2 linked regions of the Rhinolophus ferrumequinum genome follow. The protein of the gene in region 2 interacts with the protein of the main gene of each other region in a biochemical or structural test. Links are inferred from orthologs where the notes say so. Each region holds a gene or a part of one and is shown on either strand. Other genes may lie near its edges. The genes, in order: RPS6KA5 and CREB1.

Region 1 (10,973 bases), on a different chromosome or scaffold from region 2:
TTATACTCACTAGGATGGCTATAAGCAAAAAGACAGATAATAACAAGTGTTGACAGGAGGTGGACAAATTGGAGCCCTTGTACATTGCTTGTGGGACTGTAAAGTGGTGCAGCTACTTTGGAAAACTTACAAAGTTAATCACAGACTTACCATGTGATCCAGTAATTAACTCTTAGTACATACCCAAAAGAAATGAAAGCGTAAGTCCACACAAAAAACTTGTACACAAATGTACATAGCAGCGTTAATCACAATAGCCAAAAGTGTAAACAACACAAATGTCAATCAACTGATGAATGGATAAACAAAATACGGTATATCCGTCAACGGAATACCATTAATTTAAAAACATGTGTTGTGATACATGACACAACATGGATGAATCTTGAAAACACTATGTTCAGTGAAAAAAGCCAGTCATAAAACACCACATATTGTAAAACGCTATTATATTATAGTGTTCCTAGGCAAATATATAGAAACAGAAAGTAGAATTAGCAGTTGCCTAGGGCTGGGGATGGGTGGTGGAAATGTGGAGTGACTGATATAAAACGGGTAAGACATTTCTTTTTAAAGTGATGGAAATGTTCTAAAATTAGATCGTGCTGATGGTTGTATAACTCTATAAATACATAAAATTCCCTGAATTGTACACTTTAAAGAAGTGGATTTTATGGTATGTAAATTATATCTCAGAAAAAGTGGTTTAACGAAAAAGGTATGGTGGCTTCCACCTTGCTCTCTCTTCAGTCACTTGCTCTGGGGCAGCCAACTGTCATGAGGACATTCAGCCATCCTTATGGAGCATCCTGCCAACAACATGAGTGAGCCGTCTTAGAAGGGGAACCTCAGCTCCTAAACAAGTCTTCAGGAGACTGCAGCCCCGGCCAACATCTCGACTACAACCTCATGAGACACTCCGAGTCAGAACCATCGAGCTAAGCAACGCCGAAATCACGTCGCTTTATACACCCCTCAGTTTGGGGGTAATTTGGTACCCAGCAATAGATAACTAATACCCCTTCCTTAACCCTCTCCTCAGCTAGGCTCTCTCTCCTAATGATGGACACCTAAGGAAGTGTCTTCCCAGGAACCCTCCCTCTTCTAAGAGTTCCTTTTCACCCCCACCCGTAATAGCTGTCACGTTAGTCGGACATACTCCCATTCCCCCGCCTCAGCTGAATGATCCAAAAGAGGGCACCTGACCAGTCGGGCCAATAATGTCCTTTCCTGATTTGTATACGTACCTTAAGCTAAGTAAAAGGCAGTGTCTCTCCAGCACCTGAAGCTGTAAGATCTAAAACTTGAGGCCTGTCAGCAGGCATGTTCTTTCCCATGTGGGAAAAGTTGGACAGCAGTGGAGAAGAATAAAGTCATTACACACAGACAAGCAAAGACGGAGAGAGTACAGACAACATAAGCCTCTGGTTCCAGCGATTCCTGATGCAACTCTATCCTTCCAGTGGGAAGACCATACGCAACCCCAGTACCTAAAACAGCACTCAGTACATAAGAGGTAATGAAATAGTTATTGAATAAGTGAATGGATAAGATAACCCAGTACCCTTCCAATAATACCCCCACCATTTCTTGTTGCTGTTTTTCAACAGAATTAGAGTCGATTATTTGAAACCTAAAAGTCCTAACCTTTTCTTTGCTACCTTTATACTCTGTATATCCCTCTAATATTATACTTATGACAATATATTCTAATGACTGGTTTACATGGCCTCCTCCCCTGCTATCAGAGGGCAAGACGTTTTCTTAGTCATTCTGGTATCATCAGGACCATCTAGTCTAGAAAACATAAAGTGCTCAAGAAATACATGCTTAACCAGTCTAATCAATTCTTTACTCTTCATTCCTTCAGCTTTTATAGCCACTGTCATCAATTTATCAACCAGCTAATATGTCCAACGTACTGAGAATACAATAAATGGTTAGACTTGATCTTACATTTTCATCCATTCAGTGAATTCATTCAATAAATATGTGAGTGCCCACCATATACCAGGGGCTGAAAATAGACAAAGGACATGGATAAAGAATAAAGAACAAGGTCTCAAGGGCCTTACTTTCTAGCACAGACAAGTAGATTGATTATACAGTATTTGTGTGAAATGCTATTAAAGAGACATGCACAGGCTGCTTAGCAGCAGCAGGGATTGTGGGGTGTTAACACTCTACTTCAGAAGACACGTACCGAAAAAGATGATAGGCAGGCAATGTGGCATAGCTTGCCCACAAATGAGCGATTCGTTTTCCAAGTGATATTAGACTAATTCACACACTTGAAGAAAAGACACTGTTATGGAGTGATTTTCAGGTTGACATTCAGCCAACATCTCCTGAGTGCCTAATACGTGCCAAGCAACCTGCGTAGCACTTTTCCAACAGGGTCTCATTCAATTTCTCACACTCTGTAGATGCTAGAAGTGAGTCTGAAAGAGTAAAGTGACTCATCTAAGTCTACACAGCTATAAAATGGCAGAGCTGGGATTTAGAACGAAGTCTTCCAGGTCCAGTCTACACAACTGCAACAATTTCCATGCCCTTCCATGTGACTTTCATTGCCTTTTCATGCATCCTACCGCATACCATACAGTGTTGGCCACAGATGGGCAATCAGCAACTGCTAACTTGATATGACTATAGACTTGTCCACATTTTGAGAAGCAAGGGACCATATCAGATCAAATTACCTTGGCGCCTATTATAGCATCATGTGCTGACAGGAGCACAGTTGGCTGAAGATGAGTGAATTTTTCAAGCTACATTTTAACAGTGTTTTTGACCACTATATCCGGTCAGCAATAAATCAAAATGACTATTCATTTCCTTTGACAGTTAACAGTACTAATGAATTCAGTGTAATCTCACCATCCATCAGAAAAATTTCTGAAATGCAAACTTGAAGCTGATGATTCACACAGTAGAGAAGGGGAAATAAAGCAGTACTCATTGTTTTCTCCAAAACTAGCATTGTTTGCAAAACCCAGAAACTGAGCAGTTGGTTGACTATTAAAAACAAATAAGTTGCTCTTTGGTCATTTAGCAAAAAGCTGCTTGTTGCACTATGGTCAGTGACCAAGGAGCGTATGATTCAAGTAGCTTTTGCAGTACAGCACGATTCTACATATATAAATCAGTGACTCGTTACGTAAGCTAAGAAAAAGAAATTAAAAATCTCCACACAAGAAAGCACCTAACCCTGAGCCAGGCACAAATCAGATATTAATACTGAATACATGTTTTAATAGGCCTTTGAAAACATCAGTTATCTATTAAATTGAGAGAGAAAAATCAAACCAACCAAACCCACACAGGTTATATTAGGAACTTAAAAAGATTATGGAGTAACTGACTCAAGATACATAAATTCACAACGACCAAAAAAACAATGTTTAAAAATGTTGAAATTAGTAACCATGCATTTGACATCCTCTTAAACCAACTCACCACTTGGCACTCCGTGGAATAACTGACAATCAAATTAGAAATAACAAAAACTAAAAGAATAGCGACAGATCGAACTTTACAATCTGTTCAAAACAGTAACAAGATGTCCTAAGCGTGCACCTGAAACCTGCTGTATAAGCTTTGTGTCTACATAATCAAAGAATATCCAATATTCCAAAGTAGCTCCATCAAAAACCTTTATAAATGTCCACAAGAATATTTAATAGTAATAATGAACAACTCACTAATGTAGTATCTGTTCAGAAATAAAAAAGAATCTCTTATATGAAACTGGGCTCCACAGATATAAATTCAAACTTACTCATTAGTCCAAATAAGCATTTTCTAATAGGAACCCTGACCCACACAACGAATAAAGTAACAAGTATAAAGCTGGGACAACTCTAGTGATCTCAAACATCAGAACGTAAGTGCTTAAGCCGGCTAGCTAGTCGCTTTTACCTAGAGCTTTAAATTTATAGACTCTTCATCTCAAGAGACCTCTGAAAGAAATTTAAGGCCAAGTATAGTATTTCATGACAATTGCAAATAAAAGCACTCAGTCCCCGGGGCCTGCGATCCCTCTTTATCTCACTGGAGAATGCACGCCTGAAAAGCGCTGGGACAGCCTCCCTGTTATCTAGTACAGGACCCCAGCACCTTAGGGGATGGTTCCACACAGCCCCACCAGGACCACCTCACGGGAAGCAGAGGGGTGGAGAAGTGAGTCACGCTCCAAAACAAAGTGTCGTTCTCCCCACACTGAGGAAGGCGCACCTTTTACCCCAAACAGGATGCAGTGACAGATGTGTCACCTGTGCGGGAAGGGGGCCCGAAGACATCCTCGGAGACGAGTGCCAACAGGCAGCTGTCGGCTGCCCCACGGGCTCCAACGCCCAGCGCCCGCCGCTCATTCCCCGGCTCCCGAAAACTTTCCGACCGCTCCCCTTGGGCGCGCCCCCACATCCCGGGACCCCGGCCTCCTGCTCCGCCCGCGAGGCCCCGCCCCGGGCCCGCCCCCCGCGGCGACTGCCCAGCCCCGCGCCCCCCCCCCGGCCCGCGCGGGCACCCGCGTGCCCTCGGGGCGCGCCCCCGCGCCGGGCCCGGCCGGCAGAAGGCGGGGTCGCTCACCCGTCCGCAGCTCGTGCTTGACAGTGAGGACCTGCTCTCCCCCGGCGCCTCCGTCCCCGCTGGTCCCCGCGGCGCCGCTGCCGCCCTCCTCCATCTTCTCCGTTTTCCGATCCCGCGGGGCTCTACAAGGGGACCCGAGAGACAGAGGACGCCCGGCCCCTCACAGCTCCCGCTGCAGCCCCAGGAGCCGCGGTGCGGCGGCTCCAGCACTCGGACGCAGAGACGAGTCTCTTTCCCGCTCTGGCCGCACGGCTCGCTCCTCCGCCTCCTCCCCCTACGGCGGGCACCGCTAGTACCGCGCAACCAAACCGCCCCCTGGTCCGCCGCCTCCTCCTTCAAGCCGCTCCGCCCACAGCCAGCAAGGTACAGGAGCCATTCGAGCCGCCATCGCTTATTGGGCACAGAGCGCGCGCATCTGTCAACGCCGGCTTCCATTGGGCAATCCGCTCTGATGCTTCTCGAGCTACCCCGCCCCGCTCCTCGAATTGTTGTTGCTTGGCGGGGAGGCAGGAGAGGGAGGAGCGCGACCACTCCGATTGGTGAAATCGAGATTGTGCGCCGCCCACTTCCACTGTTGCGCACGCGCAGTCGGGACCTTCCCTTCCCTGACCTCCCCAGAATGGTCACACCCCTATTCCCCAGCTTCGATCTGTTAGTAAATAGTGTCTAGTAGTCAGGAGGATCTCGGGGTCTCTGATTGGCTAATGCTGAAAGGGCGGAGAGGGCTGATTTTAATGTTTGGTCTGCCAATCACCGTGGACAGAGGCGTGGTCTGGGGAGGGGAAGTGCTTCTCACACACGTGTTTGCAGACGTACCTGAGGGTCCCAGATAGCGATACACAGATGTGTGACAGCTGGAAGACAACGTGTCTTTAAAAAGGTGTTATTCGCTCTAGTGAGCCCTAAAGAAGTTAAGTGGATTTGTACTTAAATACAGGTAGTTCTTAGCAAAAATTCACAATCCCAGCTCTCCAGAACTTTTGCAAAGGATAGACATTTCCATTTTGTGCAAGACGCATCCTAGGCACCAAAAAGATACAGAGATTAATAAAATAAAATATAATCCCTGCCCCTGAGAGACTTTCAATAGGACATGAGAAACAGACAATCTTTCTGTATATACAGGAGACCATAGAGCTGGATTTGAAATAAAACAGTCATTCAAACTGTTAGAGAATTACACAGATGGCAATAATTATTCTCGGTAGAGGAGGTGGGGAAGGCTTTTAGGGAAAGGGGACATTTGAAATAACCAACTTAAAGAATGGGGAAAACGGAAATACCAGAAGCAGACATTTCCTACAGAGATGGTAACTTTGAACATAGGCCTGGAGGTAAAGAAGGAAAGGATGGGTTAAGTAAAGATGGGCTGCATGGAGTACGATGTAGAAGACGCTGCTAAAAAGGTAAGATGTGGTAAGATAATGGTGAACCTTGACTACCAGGCTAAACAGTGCAGATTTTATTTAATTAAAGATGGGGAGCCTCAAAGACTAGTTAAGGTGCTGGCTTGGTTATGTAACCCGCACATGCAAGCACTTATGTAATTAGTTGGCCATCAGCTAGAACCAGTTGGCCGTCAGCTGTAACCAGTTGGCCGCCAGCCACTATTGTTCTGTATGCTATATAACTGCAGCGGCTACGTTGGCAAGTGCAGGTCTTGAGGATTCTACTTCCTGTGTCTCCTCCGGCCACCATCGAGACTGTGGTGCAGGAAGACCCCTGGTTAAGGTATTGGCGGATGTTTGCTTCCCATGTCTCGACCAGCCGCCATCGAGAATCTAGTGGTATGAACCACCTATCCGTGGCTCCGTTGTTGTTCCTTTTCAGCCTTACCATATCCTGCGTTCACCTGCTGGGAGCTGAGCCCCTCCATTACAAATATCAAAGTTGTTCTCTTAGAAGTTAGTTAGAAGGATAGACTGAAGGGAGGAAGAGAAAGATAGCAGGGCAAAAACACTCCTGCAAAGACAGAATTTAGGGGGGCCTGATTTCTGGCAGTGGACATGAGAATGGGAAAAGGAGAGGATTAAAGATGGAAACTTGGACATAATTCACATAGAAATGAACTTTTAAACTAAGCATGGATTAGATCAGAAGTGAGCAAAGTTTTTCTGTAAAGGACCAAATAGTAAATGTTTTAGGCTGTGCTGACCATGTGGTCTCTTTCACAGCTATGCAACTCTGCTATTGAAATCAGCCATAAGCAATAAGTAAACTAATGGATATGGCTGTGTTTCAACAAAACTTTATTTATGGACATTGAAATTATAATTCGCATAATTGTCACGTCATAATGTATTCTTATTCCTTTAATTCTCTTCAACCATTTAAAAATATAAAACCCATTCTTAGCTCTTGGGCCATAAAAAAAAAAAAAAAAAAAAAAAACAGGCTGTAAAGCAGACCTGGCCTGCAGGCCATAGTTTATAGACTCCTGGATTAGATTGCCATGGAAGATAAAGCACAGACGTCTGGACAGCCTCTTCAGGTTGCCCTCAGCTCCTGGGGCTTACCTGCCTGGAACATTTATCCCACTAAACCATGACTGTCTACATACTTGTCTTTCTTCTTCACAAGTAGTGAGCTGTTTGTAGCCAGGGAATGACTGTGTGCAATTGTTCATTTGTTCACTTAACAACTTTTACACCAATTATCTACCAAGTACTGTGATAGATGCTACAAGCACCATGAAAGCAAAACATGCAATCCCATCTAGAAATGGAAATAAATCTTAAATCATTACATAAGGAAATGGAAACTTACGATTGTGATAATGAGGCAAAGGAAAATCATAGAGTGCTACAATAGAATATATCAGGGGGGTCTAATTTAGGTCAGAAAAACTTGAAGGCCTTTACAAGGAAGTATTATTTAAGCTGATTCTTTAAAGATGAGTAGGTTTTACCAGGAAGTGGCAGAGACTGGCCTGATGCTCACCAATCTCGTTTCCTCTTCCTGGACACACAGAAAAACTACAATTTTTTTTTCCTTTGAAGTTAGGATAGGGTCATGTGACGTGATCGGCCCGATGGGGTGTGAACAGACACGATGTGGGCCTTTCCAAGCCCGGCAGAGAAAGCCCCATGCATAATCACTCACGCTCTTTACTCTTTCCACAGCAACTACAAAGGCTGCATTTCGAATGTCGGGGTACCACAATTTAGAGGACCCCTGAACCCCTGAGTCTTGAAGAAGAGCCACCCTGACCTACAATCAGACTGTCATGTGAGCAATAAATAAATCTTATCAGGCATGAGCTATGGCGATGTTGGGGTTGCTTGCTAACGAAGCATAATCTAGCCTACCTTGATGATTTCACAAGTGAATTATTGGGGGGATAAAATTCTAGGAAGGTGCAGATGCAAGGTCGTGAGGCAAGCAAAGGGCCCATTGTATTTTAGGGATTGAGAGAAAGCCAACAGGTCCACAGTAAGCAAGAGATGAGGTGAGGGAGGCAGGCAGATATCCAATCACAAAGTGTATGGTAGGACTTATTAATATTTTTGGAATTTTTTTTTCCTCTGTGAAGTTAGAAGGAATGGAAGGAATTTAACAGGTGAATGGTATAATTGGGGTAGTATTTTCCAAAGGTCACTGTGGTTAGTGTTTGGACACTGGGCTGGAGGGAGCAAGAGGAAATACAGGGAGACAAGTTAGGAGGTTATCACTGTATTCTGGGCAAAAGATGACAGTGGATACAGTAGATATTGAAAGAAATGGAATGTTTCTAGATATACATTTTGGACTTCATAAAGGATTGGATTTGATGGGTGAGGGATAAAAGGGTTTCTGAAATCAAATTTTCTCGCATGAGCAACTGGGTAGATGGAAGAGAGTGGTGGTACCATTTAAGGAGAGCAGTGAATTAAAGGAAAAGCACATATCAGAGAGAATATCAAGAGTTTCCTGTCGAAACATCCAATGCCAATATTAAGTAGCTATGTGGATATATGAGTCTGGAGCACTGCAGAGAGATATAGGATAGAGAAATCATTAGCATATAGATGCTATCTGAGGCCACAATATGAGTAAGCTTCCCTGGGGAGAGAATGTGCGGACAGACGAGGAGCACAGGACTGAAATCTAAGGAATTTTCACGTTGTGACATTGGAATGAAAGGTGGAGCCAGAGAGGTAGGAGAAAAACCTGGAGAGTTTGTTTCTTGGAAGCCAAAGTGTTTCAAGAAGAAGGGAGTGGTCACATGCCCTGAAAGGTCACATAAGATGAGGTGTGGAAAGAGCCCATGAATTTGCCAACTTCGGTGCCATTGGTGATAATATCCAAGGCAGTTTCGGTAGAGAAAATGGGAGGTGGAATAAAAACAGTGTGTGTGGACATCTTCTTCAAGGAGTTTGTCTCTGAAGGAAAATAGAGAAGGAAGGATTGAAGGAGGTTTTGTTTGTTTACTTTTTATTTTTAAATAATTTTAAAATTGCAGAAGAGTTGCAAAAACAGTACAGAATTTTCACATACCCTCCAGTCAGCTTCCCCTAATGTGAATATGTTACAGACCATAGTTCAATCATCAAAACTGAGAAATTAACATTGGCATATCATTAAATAAAGACTCTACAGATTTTACCACTTTTTCCACAAATATGGTTTTTATATTTTTAAATGGTTGAAAAAGAATTAAAAGAAGAGTGTACTGTGACACGTGAAAATTATGTGACATTGACATTTTAGGGTCCATAAAGTTTCATTGGAACACAACCATGCCCTTTCTCTCTGCCAAGATCCAATCCAGGACCTTACATTATGTTTAATTGTCATGGCTCCTTGGTCTCTCCCAATCTGTAGCAGTTCCTTAGTCTTGCCTTAACTTCATGAACTAAACTCTTTCGAAAAATACTGGTCGAGTACTTTGGAGACTGCCCTCTGATTTGGGTGTGCCTGATATTTTCCTGTGAGTAAATTGAAGTTGCACATTTTTTGTCAAGAGTGCTACAGAGGTGATGGGGTCTTCATCAATTCATCTGATTGGGTACAAGAAATGTATATTCTTAGTACTTGTGGGGTTAACCTCGAGCACTTGGTTGAGGTGGTGTTTGCTATGTTTCTCTACTCCAAAGTAATTGTTTTTCCCATTGTAATTAATGAATACTGGGAGGCCTGTGAGATACTTTTAGACTATGCAAATATCCTGTTTCTCATTAGACTTTCCCGCACTAATTTTAACATCCACTGGTGGATATTGCCTACAGCAGTTATGGCTGCGACATTCTAATGGTAATTTTCTATCTGATGGCTTTTTTAAGATGAGAAATGCTGGAACATGTTTGAATGGTGATGAGATGGGTGGATGGGGGAAAGGTTGAGAAACACTGAAGTGAATCTCTGACAAAGTGGGCGGGGCTGGGAGCCTGAGCTGGCTGAGAGGTTTACTTCTGATGGGAGGAGGCGCCACGTCCTTCACCAAGGAAGGAGAGGGAGAGGAGGAGCCAGAGGCAGGCACGGACCAGCTTATAGACTTGGGGGTGTCTTGGCCATGTCATCTCGATATCCCTGGCATGTAAAATAGGTTCTAGCTTAAAATGGACTTTCAGTAAATATTTGTTGAATGAATGAACGAATGAAAGAGTCAGAAACCTACATTTAAAGAGTACATATAAAAAGAGGAGCCAGTTTAGGGTATAATCTCAGTAAAGCAGGAATAAGCCCTATGAGCTAATCCCACTTGTTGAGAGTTCATACCCACTCAGATGTTCATTCATGTAGCAAAGACTTTATTTCAGAGACGCAAACCCTGTGCTGAGTGATGGGGGAGATGGGAAGAGATGGACCTGGGAACTGAAGATGGTGGAAACAGTTTGGGACAGTCACTGTGAAAAATAAATATAGCAAGCCAGCTTGGGTAATTGCTGCCTAACACTGGGGGCCCAGGTGGACTTAGAAAACCTGAATCAGATAGTTTAATATCTTCCTCTAGCAACTTACATTCCCCCTTGGGGATGGAGACTAGCAGTTGGGCATCAGCCTGGTTGAAATGAGTGACCCTGGGGCCTAAGCTGAGGGAGCAGGCAGTGAAGCCCAGGATAAACTGCTAGCCTGGGAGAACAGGCTGGAGTCCAGGAGCGGGAGTGAATTAACATAAAGGAGTAAAACAGCATTTCTCAACTTTGGCTGCACATTGGAGTCCCCTGGGATGTTTAAAAACAACAACAACAACTCCCACCCCTGAAAAGTGCAACTGAATTGGTCTCGGAAAGGGCCTAGACTTCAGAATTCTTTTGAAAGCACCCCTCCCTCCCGTGATTATAACGTAGAACCAGTTTTGTAATGTACAACTCTGATGTACAACCAACAGAGGAGAGGATGGTGAGTAAGAGCAAGTTGGAGTTCTGAAACAACAGCAACTTTTCAGAGGTAGTAAAGATGTT
Region 2 (11,004 bases):
AAATGGTTAATTCTTATCCAAGTTTCAAATGTGTCTCAAAAACCTACACTTACAGATATGATAGCCTAGAATAAGTTTAAAACCATACTTTTTCTTATGACTTCAGAAAGTTGATCAGGGCTAATCTCTTATATAATGACTGTGCTAGCATATACTCATATATTAAATGGCAGAGGAAAGCAAACAGCCATTTTCACATTATTAGTTTGTTACTTTAGTTCATGATCTTCACTGATTCCACGATACTGTGAGAAATCACTTAATTCCCAGGTAGTCCAGACATGTTCCAGGAGGAAAATTTTCAGTCTTTACAGATTTCAAGTATCTATCTCCATCTCCCCAAATCTGTAAAAGTGCTTTGTAAACATTTCAGTATTGAGCAGGTAAAAACAGTACATATTAATATTTTATATAAAATACTAGTAAATCCTCAAAATAATAATAGTAAAGCAGTATTTTTACATTAAAAATGTTAGCACATGTAACTGTCAACTTGAGCATACAAAGAATGAGATACATCACAACAGCTTCAATTAATGATTTATTTTTTGAAAGACAGAGTTTGTTTGCCTGCTGCCAGATTATTATTTATCATTTTCTTTCTAAGTTTAATCAACTTAAAAATTCACAGCATGTGTATTTTAAAGATAAATACACTAACAGCATGCATATTTAAAATGTACTATAGTTAAATGCTGCTTATAAAAGCCAAAAAAAAAAAAAGACAGTGATGTACTGAAACTTGTTTTGTGCTCTAGCTGAAATAAGTATTAACTTGATCCAACTAGTTGACCAAGGACTTTCGGGGCAGGAGGTTATCTAAGCAGTAAAATCTCAGTACACAAGCATATAGGTGAAACTATTGTTTAGGTATCAAATATAAAACTCTGATAATTACACTAAAAATATTAGAAAATCAAATAATATGTAAAAAATAAATACAAGAAAAAAGCTAGTACACTAATCAGTATTAATGGGTTATAATATCCCATGAGAATAGTTATTTAGGTATCAAATATAAAAAAGGACTGTACTATGAGAGAGAGAAAACTATAGAGACTGTTTGGGCTGAAACAGTAATAGGAGGTAGAAGTCTGTTCAGGACTGTAAGAACCTCAACAAGAGTTAAATTCACTTTCATAGTTAATTCTTACACAGCTTATTTGCCTTTTCATGCACTGAAGCTAAAAAGGTAATTGAGGCAGTTCAAATAAATTCCTGTCACAAAATGCTATTTCTCATTTAATGAAGTATTTCATTCTAAGAAATAAAGACAGAATGACAGATTCCCTTAGTTTAAAAGGTCATATAAGACCTAAAAATAAAATCAGCTCATTAAGTGGTTGATAAATATAGGTAGATCCATACGATGGAATGCCTCAATAATAGTAATAATAATAATAATAAAGCTCTTTATGTATTGATACAAACCAATTGCTAAGCAATCTTAAGTGGAAAAAAGCAAGATATACAATAGTGTATATAGTATATATATCTTTTGTATAAAAAGGGGGGGTAGGAAAACACATACATATTTGCTTGTGTACAGATAGAATACCTCTGAAAGGACAAGAAATCAGTAACACTTGGGTGACTGGGGTGGGGGTGACACACATACACGACTTTTCCTATATTTTTTGTTTTGAATTATGAACTGAGTGAATTACTTATTAAAAATAAAATTGGAAATATAAAACTATTAATATTCTTTTTCCATTATTTTACCAAGTATGATTTCTCTTTCCTTTGATCGCTTTCTTATGACATATTCTGCCTTATTAGTCATTGAGTCCCTAAAAGTTTCCTTTAGGGTAGAGATAAGAGTGTTAAGTAATTTATTTTTTGACTTGCTGCAGCTTCTGCTCCACTGTATTAAACATAGTAACATTAATGATGAATAATTTTAATAATAGGAAACATTTGCTGAGCATTTGTGAAATACCTGATATTTAGTATGTATTAAATATTTTTATAGTTTACATGTATTAACTTATTTAATCCCCACATTTCTGAGGTAGATGTTGTACATTCATGACTGAGGAAACTGCCCAATGTCCCACAACTAGGAAGTTAAAATAAAACTTAAAATGAGTATCTATCACTGAGTCCCTAAGGAGGTACTTTATAATAATCTCACAACCATATAAAGTGGGTGGTATTATTCTAATTTAACAAATAAGGAAACTGAGGCTGAGAAAGATTAGGAAATTTCCCGTAAGTCACAAAATTCCTTGAGGGAAGGCACATGACGGTAATGGCCAAGTGATTCCAAACCTAACGCTCTTTCCATTAACTACATTCTCTGTCACAGTAAATTATAACTAAATATTTGAATTACCATAAACTGTTGTCTCAAGTGATACTGTGGTAGAAATGAGTTCACACGAGTAAGAAAAACAAAAATCCTTGCATTTTTTCCCCATTCCCTATCTACTATATCCATACATTCAGATTGGAGCTCTGACTATTCAATAAAGAAGACGTCACTCGAAGTAACACTGTTCATGAAGAAAGATATAAGACTGTCACAGGCTGCTACAAAACAGTGCATATAACTATATCAGACAAGGTATTTATGGAAGAAATGAAATTATAAATTTCAGTGATACATTGTAAACATTATGTTACAAGAAAAGTTTTTTCTACTATGGGAAAAGATTTTTAAATTGAGGTGAAGTGGGGGATACATACTTGGTTTTATTGTAACCATATATACTCCAAAAAACAAAACCCCGTGTTTTAGGAGACAGAACAAAGCTACTTATCTAGGAAGAAACAAAAATTTCTATTAAGGAGATCTAATCAAGAAGATGAATTTCAGAAAGCAGAAAAAAAGAGGTGCCATTTTATGGATCAGATTTCTAAGTTTCCTTAGGCTCTTCCGTGAAAAAAAAAAAATTCAAAAGGGGTAACACTAGATTTTTAAATCCCATTTAAAACATTTCCTAACATTTTTCAATTTCTGTTAAAGATTCATTCACTTTCTGAATACAGGTGTCCATTAAAAAATAAAAGTTCAAGCAGATTTAACTGATTTTTACTGATCCCTGAGAGGGTATAGAAATATAATTTAGTATCATGCTCCAAGTGAATATTCAATTAGTGAATATAACAAAGTTTGAAAAGTTTTACCTGGAACTGCTAAGAATTACAGATTATGAATCTATAAATAAAAGATCTTTTGGATAAGGCTGAAGAAAAAAATCCATCGGAAAACTTTTTTTTTCTTTTCAAATTTCACAGTGTTATTGTTCTGTATTTTCAGTAACGAAAAAAATTTAATCAACATACACTGGTTTGCAGAAAATCTTTCTTAAGGAAAAACAGTGCTCTATAGCTTCATCAATACTGTAACTTCCTGTGTTTGGAAATAAAATCATCTTCCCAAGCCTTATGGAAAAATTCTTTATTACATCTTAAGTTTTTCAATAACAAACTGCTGATGTGTTGTTGTTTTTTTTTTTAAACTGGCAATACAGCAAAAAATAAATAAAGTTTTGGAAAAGTGACTTGGATACAGAAAAATCAGAAGACAGTTCTTTACCAATCAATATTTATTCCTAACAGGAAACTTTGTACATATTAATCAATTGTATCATACTGTCATAGATTTTTAAAACAACCTGTTCATCTTTTGCACCACCTAAAAGTAACCGTTTTGGCTTTACTTTTAAATCAGGAAATGTGCAGTGAGTGTAAAAGATTTCAGTATCTGGCAACCAAAAGTATCTTTTATACTAAACCTTTAGAAGGCAGAACGGATGCAAGCTAAGGCCAGAATGAAATTCTATCTTCTTAAGAAGGTATGACAAACTTAAATAGGTCATATTCCAGGTCCTTTAAAAATTATCTTTTAATCTTTAATGTGTCAATGCCTTTTCTGCTGTGGCTTTTCCCAACAGGGAAACAAAATAAGCCTTGTGGTTTAAATTATTGTCAGTCTCAGGCTGGGGTTACCTACTTCATGGGAGACAAATAATGGATACTTTTAAATGCCTATTTTTTGTTAGTATCCATCAATATTATTGAAGTTTAGATAGAAACATGTGGGCAACAGGGTAGGAGGTGGGATGGAGAAATCCCGAAGACCCAAACGCGGTTAGCAAGGTTGGGGAAAAAAGTGATGTAAAGCAAAAGTACGTCGGCTAATATTCGTTTCAACGAAGTGTTTCAGAATGATAGATCTCAAATGATAACCTTATTGAAAAGGGTTAAAACCGAAACTGTTTTCAAACACCAGCTTCCCTTTTACAAGATCCCAACAGTTTTTTAAAAGTTGTTACAAATATGTTTTTCTTAGCACCCCCTTCCTCCCCAAAAGAATGCATTTCCATGACTACTGAGTTCAAAAAAAAAAAAAAAAAAGAGGGTGAGGGACAGAGTCAAAATTATCTAAAAATGCACGAGCCCTCATCATCTCAACTAAGCAGAGAAAACAACAGTGTTTCCCCAACGGGGTGGGAGCAGGGGGAAAGGGCATGAATAAAATACAGGACGAGAGGAAACCTTTGGTTTCGAACTTTATTGCACAAAGAGAGAGCGGAGAAGAGGAGGTCAGACGTTGCCGCGCTTCTCCGCGCGAAGCGGGCACGGCAGACAAGGCGGCTACCGGGAAGGCAGGCACCTTCACCTCCTCTGCCCTCCACGGTCGCCTTCTTCCTCCTTCACCCCCCGCAGGCACCCCGGCGGCGCTGCCCGGGCGGACGGCCGGGCCGGGGGCGAGGCGGGCGGCGGGGGCCTGGCGAACCGCATGGGGGCCAGCAGCGCCAAGATGGACCGGGACGGGCAGGCGGCCTCCCCCGGGGCGGCTCCTGGCTCCCGGCTCCGCGCCCGCCCGGCCTGGCGGCGGCGGGAACGCGGGCGCCAGCTCACCGCGGCCAGCCGCCCGCACACACCCCTGGTCGCCGGCTCCCACCCCGCCCGCTGCCCGCCGCCCCCCGCCATGAGCGCCGCCGCTGGCTGCAGGCAGAGTCGCTGCCGCCCCGGCCGCCGCTGGCTCCAGTCCGCCGCCATTATTCTTTGTTCGCTGCGAGCGGCGGCGATGTTGTGGGGCTCGGGCGGAGGCTCCATCTTTACCGCGGCCCCTCCTGCGAGGGGAAGGCCCCGAGCGCGGGTGTCCGGCGCCTCCCCGTCCCCCCTCCGTCCCCCCGGCTCTCTCCGGCTCCTGCCTCCTCCTCCTGCTCCTCTTACCGGTGGTACAAGCTCCTCCGTCACTGCTTTCGTTCGCGGCCCGGATCTCGCTGGAGTTTTATTCTCTCCCCCACGTAACACACCGCGTCAAACTACACCTCCGCCGCGTCACTCACCAACACTCCGCTTCTCCCTGCCGCCCGGGCCACAGGCAGCAGCAGCCGCCGCCGACTGAGGAGCCGCAGCCAGGGAGCCAGCCAGCGCCGCCCAGTGCCGAGTGCGCAGCGGCCGCGCACGGAAACAGCCGAGTTCGGCCCGGAGGAGCTCGAACGGCCCCGCCCCTCGCGCTGGAGGCGGAACTTCCCGAAGGCCTTCGGGCTCTTTCGGGCGAGGCGAAGGGGTTCCGCCAGGAGTAGGACGGCGAAGGTGGGCTGAGACCAGCTGGGGGAGGAGGGTTCCAAGCCCGCTGGGTTTTTGGACCGATAAAACCTGGCGGCGGAAATTTGAAAGAGGAAGTGGGGTTGGTGTGTGGCGGGGTGGGGAATTCCCGAGGGGTGTCGACGACTCGATGGAAACCCCCGTGTGGGCCTAGCCCTGCGGCGGTAAGCGGCGGGCGCTAGGGTGGCTGCGGCCGCCGGCCCGGGAACTTTCAAACGCTGCCGGGACGTGGAAGGCGCGCCGCGGGGTCTAGGACGCGGCTGAATGCGGGAGTCGTGAGAGGTGGGGAGGAAGGGCTGCTGCGCGTCTGCAGACGCCCCCAAGGCCGGGCAGGGCCGGGCGCTGGCACGGGAGGCCACTGCGCTGGGCCGGCGCGGGCCGTGGGTCAGCGGGGCCCCGGTGGGGAGGGCTTTCCTCCTCACTGCACTGGCCTGGCGGCCCCGCTCAGAATCAGCTGAGAAACCTGGCGGCCGCCGGCGACACTATTCTATTTTGGGGGTGGTGGGGGTGGGGATGGGGAGGCTCTGGGACTTGTGGCGTCTTTGCGGGGTTCAGCCCGGCTGCGCGGGCATCCAGGGTGATCTTCGGCCCTGCAGGGCCTCCTAGCAATGACCTGCCCTGACCGAGGTTGCTCTTCGCCACTTCCGAAATGTCTGCCCTCCTCCCTCACCTGCCGCCTTTTTTCTGGCATCCTGCTGTGTCGCTTTCTTTTCACAGCCTGTTTTCTGCAGCAATGGTTTGCACCCACCGCACCCTGTTCTTCACCACCCACTCGGGCTCTAAACCCGACAGTGTGACTTCTGTTGCCTCGCGGCTACTGAAACTCCTCTCTCAGAGGTCGTCCAAGGTCACGATGTTGAAGTCATTCTCCTTTTTATTGAACCCTGCAGCCCTCTCCCTGGGCTCTCAGGTCTTTTATAATTTTCTTTCTGTCCCTTAAAGCAAACCTGTCTTTAGGAAGCTGGTGAGACGGTCCAATCCTGAACTCCACCCCTTATTGGCTTCCTGTTACAAAGAGTAGCCCTCGGTGGTACTCGTTTATTTTTCCCTTCGTGGTACTCCGGGTCGATCATCTCCCGCTTTCTTCGGGACTTTGCGCTGAAGCGTATCCACCTTTCCTTCTGTTATTTTCAGTCTTTCCATCTCTACTGGCTTTCCTGTTTAGGATTTAAACATGTTTAAGTCTCACGTTTCTTTAAAAAGATTTGTCTCCTTAAATCCCTCTCCATCCATGACTTAAGTTGTCTCTTACCCCGTGGACATTCTCTCATGTCCCAATTCTCAACTCTCTCCAGTGGAGCTTCTGTTCCTACCACTGGACTGAAGCAGTTCTGATTTGTTCCAGACAAGCTTCAGTCATCATCTTATGAGACTTTCGTCTAGCATTGGACACTATCGACCACACCATCATCCAGGTAGACTCTTCCCTCTGCTCTTATATCAAAGTTTTCCTCTGACCTCTCTGGTTGCTTTTTAACAACCAGCTTCTCCTCTTTTATCCAACTCTTAATGATTGGAATCCCACTGAACTGAGCCCTCTCCGTGAGCCCCACCATATACACTTTCCTAGGTGGTCTCATGCTCTTCCAGTACCTTCAGATACGCTCTGCCAAAGTCTGGCCATCCCATAACTCAAGCCTAGATCTTGCTTTTATCTCTAGATTCATATTCCAACTGCCATTACTGCAGTTTCATTGGATGACTGGGGCATGTCATACTCAACCTGTATATCATATTCCCTCCAAAACCCTCCTCCCATAGCCCTGGGATCAGTAAAAGGCATCCTATCCATCTACTCATTTCAAGCCAGAAACCTGAGCTGTCTCTGACACACATCAGAATCACCTAGACCTGTCTGCCTTTAGAAATTGACTTTGTGGCCTCTCTCCATTCCTATGACCACTTTTCCACACCCCACTCTAGTCTAAGCCACCTTCATCTCTTGCTTGAAGTACTGCAAGTAGCTACCATCCAGAGCCTACGGAATTGCTCTTGGCTCTTTCCAATACATTTGCCATGCTGCAGACACCGTAATTTTACACATACAAATCTGATCAATTCACTGCCCTGCTTGAATTCTTTCGGTGGCTTCCCTTTGCGTACTGAACAGTCTAAGCTCTTTATTGTGGAGACCAGGCCCTCCACCACCTGGGCTTGTCATTCTCCCTAGCCTCTCCAGCTGTCCTCCTAGCTTTGCGCACCAGCCATATTAATCTTATTTTTTCCAGGCTCCTTTCTCTTTTTTACCCTTACTGTAGGCTCTCACCTCGTTATTTACACATACCATTCCCCTCCCTTGGAATTCTTTTCTGTCATCCTCTCCTACCTAATTGTAGCATCCTTTTCTGATTTATCATACCTGTAATTATTTATTTAGTGTCTACGTAAGGTCTGAGCCTGTGGGGACCATGTCTGTTTTGTTCACCACCAGCTTTTCCCCTTCCCTTTCATCCCTGACACAAGCACAATGTTTAGACTATAGCGGTACTCATTAAATATTTATGGACTAAATAATGAATATCTGTGCGGTTCTGGGATAAATTCCTTAATATTTTTAAATCCCAGTTCAAATCCTGGCTCAGTCACTTACGGCTATGCGACTTTGGGCAAATTGTTCACTCTTGTGCTTCGGTTTTCCCATCTGTAAAATAAAGATGATGACAGCACCTGTGTCATAGTGTTATTGTGATATAAAATGAGATCATTCATGGGAAGCGTACTTGGAACAGTGTTTGGTATATGTGTATACGTATTCAGTATTAATTAAAATGTTGCCTGTTACTAGATTTTAGTTGCATATCTCACCCTTGTGTCAAATACATTGTAAATTTGAGTTTAGCGTCTCCCTGCCCTTCTTCTTACCCTTGGCATTATTTACTCTGCTAGTCTATATTTATTACCTACCAAATATGGTCATTTTTTATTTTAAAGTTTCCTCATGTTCTGCCTCTCTGTTCACACTGACCTTCATGTAGGCTGTACCTCTTTATGTTATAGTTACTTTCCTGACTTCCTAGGTGCTTTCTGACTGCTGGCCCACTCCCCCTGCTCACTTGTGCCCTAGTGACAGTCCAGTGGGCCTCGGTTAGTAAATCCTGTATTCTTGCCTTCTTTCCTGGTCTCTTTTCACTTCACTTTGTTCACTCATTCATTCAATCATTCATTCATTCAAGTGCAAGTTATTTTACTAAGCATTTTGGATATACTTCAGCTTTGAAATCTAGTCTCCCAATATCATATATTCTGCTCTAGCATCTCCATACACTGTAGAAATGAACTAGAAATATTAAACTTTCGGCATCCATTTTTTGTCTCTGGGATTTGGAAAATACCCCCGGTTTTGACTTAAATTTTTATTGGAAAATATGGTCAATATTGGGGAGATAAAAGTAGAGAAGAGCACACGGATGTAACTTGACATAGTATTAAGTGCCGCAAGAGAGGTCCAGAAAAGGGGGAGGGTCTCTTGAGATGATTATAAAAGTTTTCAAGGAGAAGATGATATTTGAGAACTTTTCTCTAACCACGGCTTCCTTTTCCTGTTATTTTTCTCTTGCTTCCGCTGTTGAACCTAGTTTTCACCCTCACTGCAAATTCAAGTTCCATGAACCCTGCTTATTCTCATGACTTAATTTGCTTTCCTACCTAACCCCAAGGCTATGGTGACTTCTCTTGTTTATTCTAAAAATAAATATCGAGTGGCACCTGCTTTGTGCCGTATACTTTTAGAAATTGGGGATCAGTGCTATTAATGTTATCAAAGCTCATGAAAAAAATCTCATGATTTGAATTGGACTTTCCAGATAGTTTTCCAACCGAGAAGAGGAAAGCACTGATACGTTATAACTATTCCTGGTCTGTGTACCGGTTATGGTTCCCATGTAAATTAATATATTTCTTCTTAAAATTAATCTTAAACAATAATAACCAAAAAACCTTTTTCCGCTTCCTTCTCTAGCTACTGCCCCATTTATTTTTTCTGTCTTTACAGTAAATATCATTGAAACAGTGCTCTATTCACTACCCCACTTCCTTTTCTCTCATTTTCTGTTGAATCTCCTCCAGTTATCTCTTGCTGTCACCAAAAGTGCTCTCCGTGTCACTTACTGTGCTCAGTCTTTGTCTCACTTGACCCATCAGCAGTATTTGACACAGTTATCGTTCCTTCCTCCCTGAAGCACTTCTTCGCTTGTTACACTTGTTTCTTCAGTGTTACAGGATACTTCACTCTCCCGGTTTTTGTCCTGTGCTACTGGTCACTATTCTTAATCTCCTTTGCTCACTGACCGCTTCATATTGGAGAATGCCAGGACTCTGTTCTTGGATCTCTTCTATTTCTATACCTGCTCCCTTAGTGATGTCTTTAGGGCATTAGATATGGTCAGGATGCTCCCAACTCCCTAGTCTCAGATCCGCACTTGTACGTATATCCGGAATTTCAGCATCTCCACTTGGATGTTGCATAGACGTCCCCATTTTATTATGTCTGACACTGAACTCCTCATTGCCTGTCCCCTCAAAAACCTTTCCCTACAGCCTTGTCTCTCAGTTAATGGCAACTCCAGCATTCCCACTGCAGAGGCCAACTCAGTAACTCGCTCACCCCCATATCCAATGTGTCATCAAACCCTGTTGGTATCAAAGTATACAACCACTCTTTCCATCTCCACTGATACCACCTTGGTTGAAGCCCCTGTCACCTTTGACTAGGATTTTGTATCAGCCACACTTACCCTTCATTCTGTTCTCAGTATAGCAGCCAGAGTGATCCTTTAAAACATAAAGCCAACCACACCATGATTCTGTTCAAAACTATCCAGTAGCTCTCCGTCTCAGAAAAAGAACAATTCTTACAGCTAGACCTACAAGACCCCATTTCCTCTCTGCTCTCACTTCTGCTGTTCGTCCCTTCTCTGCTCAGGCCTATTGGCCACCTTTCTGATCCTCAAACCCTTTGGACATACTCGCTCCTCAGGGACTTTGCATGTGCTGTTCCCTCTGCTCAGAAGGCTCCTTCCAGACATTTTTATGTCCTCTTCCCCTCTTCAGGTCTTTGCCCAGATGTCTCCATTTTCTGTGAGGCCTTCCCCTACTATGATGAAAACTGTCCACCCTACACCCCACCTCTCTCTTTGCTCCTTTGCTTTCCCTTTCTCTCTTTGCTGCTTTATTTTTCTCCATAGCACCTATCTCTTTCTGGTATGCCATATACTTCACTAACTTATTGTGTTTGTTGTCTGACGCCTCTAGGGCAGGGACTTGTGTCTCTCTTTTCACTGCTGTATCCTGAATATCTAGGATAGAGTCTTGTACATAGCTCACACTCAAATGTTTGTTGAGTGAATGCAGTTGAAATTCTGGATTTAATATTAATCTCCTGGCATTGGTTAATTTAAACAGGTCTCCCTCAGCCTGATCACCTCTGGATGCATCTAT

What was found.
Region 1: of the proteins of CREB1 (region 2) and RPS6KA5, one has a biochemical effect on the other in vitro, tested with the Homo sapiens proteins (3 studies listed by BioGRID, with this or other methods). The link is inferred for Rhinolophus ferrumequinum from reciprocal best matches to the Homo sapiens genes CREB1 and RPS6KA5.

What each region holds. Positions count from the first base shown.
Region 1 is NC_046289.1:11,156,566-11,167,538, reverse strand, and holds the start of RPS6KA5 (ribosomal protein S6 kinase alpha-5), read right to left. Parts: upstream 5,037-10,973; 5' UTR 4,685-5,036; coding exon 4,591-4,684; intron 4,383-4,590; exon of another isoform or gene 4,237-4,382; intron 1-4,236. UniProt on the Homo sapiens protein: Serine/threonine-protein kinase that is required for the mitogen or stress-induced phosphorylation of the transcription factors CREB1 and ATF1 and for the regulation of the transcription factors RELA, STAT3 and ETV1/ER81, and that contributes to gene activation by histone phosphorylation and functions in the regulation of inflammatory genes.
Region 2 is NC_046291.1:25,101,793-25,112,796, forward strand, and holds the start of CREB1 (cyclic AMP-responsive element-binding protein 1), read right to left. Parts: upstream 5,418-11,004; 5' UTR 5,307-5,417; exon of another isoform or gene 5,191-5,306; intron 1-5,190.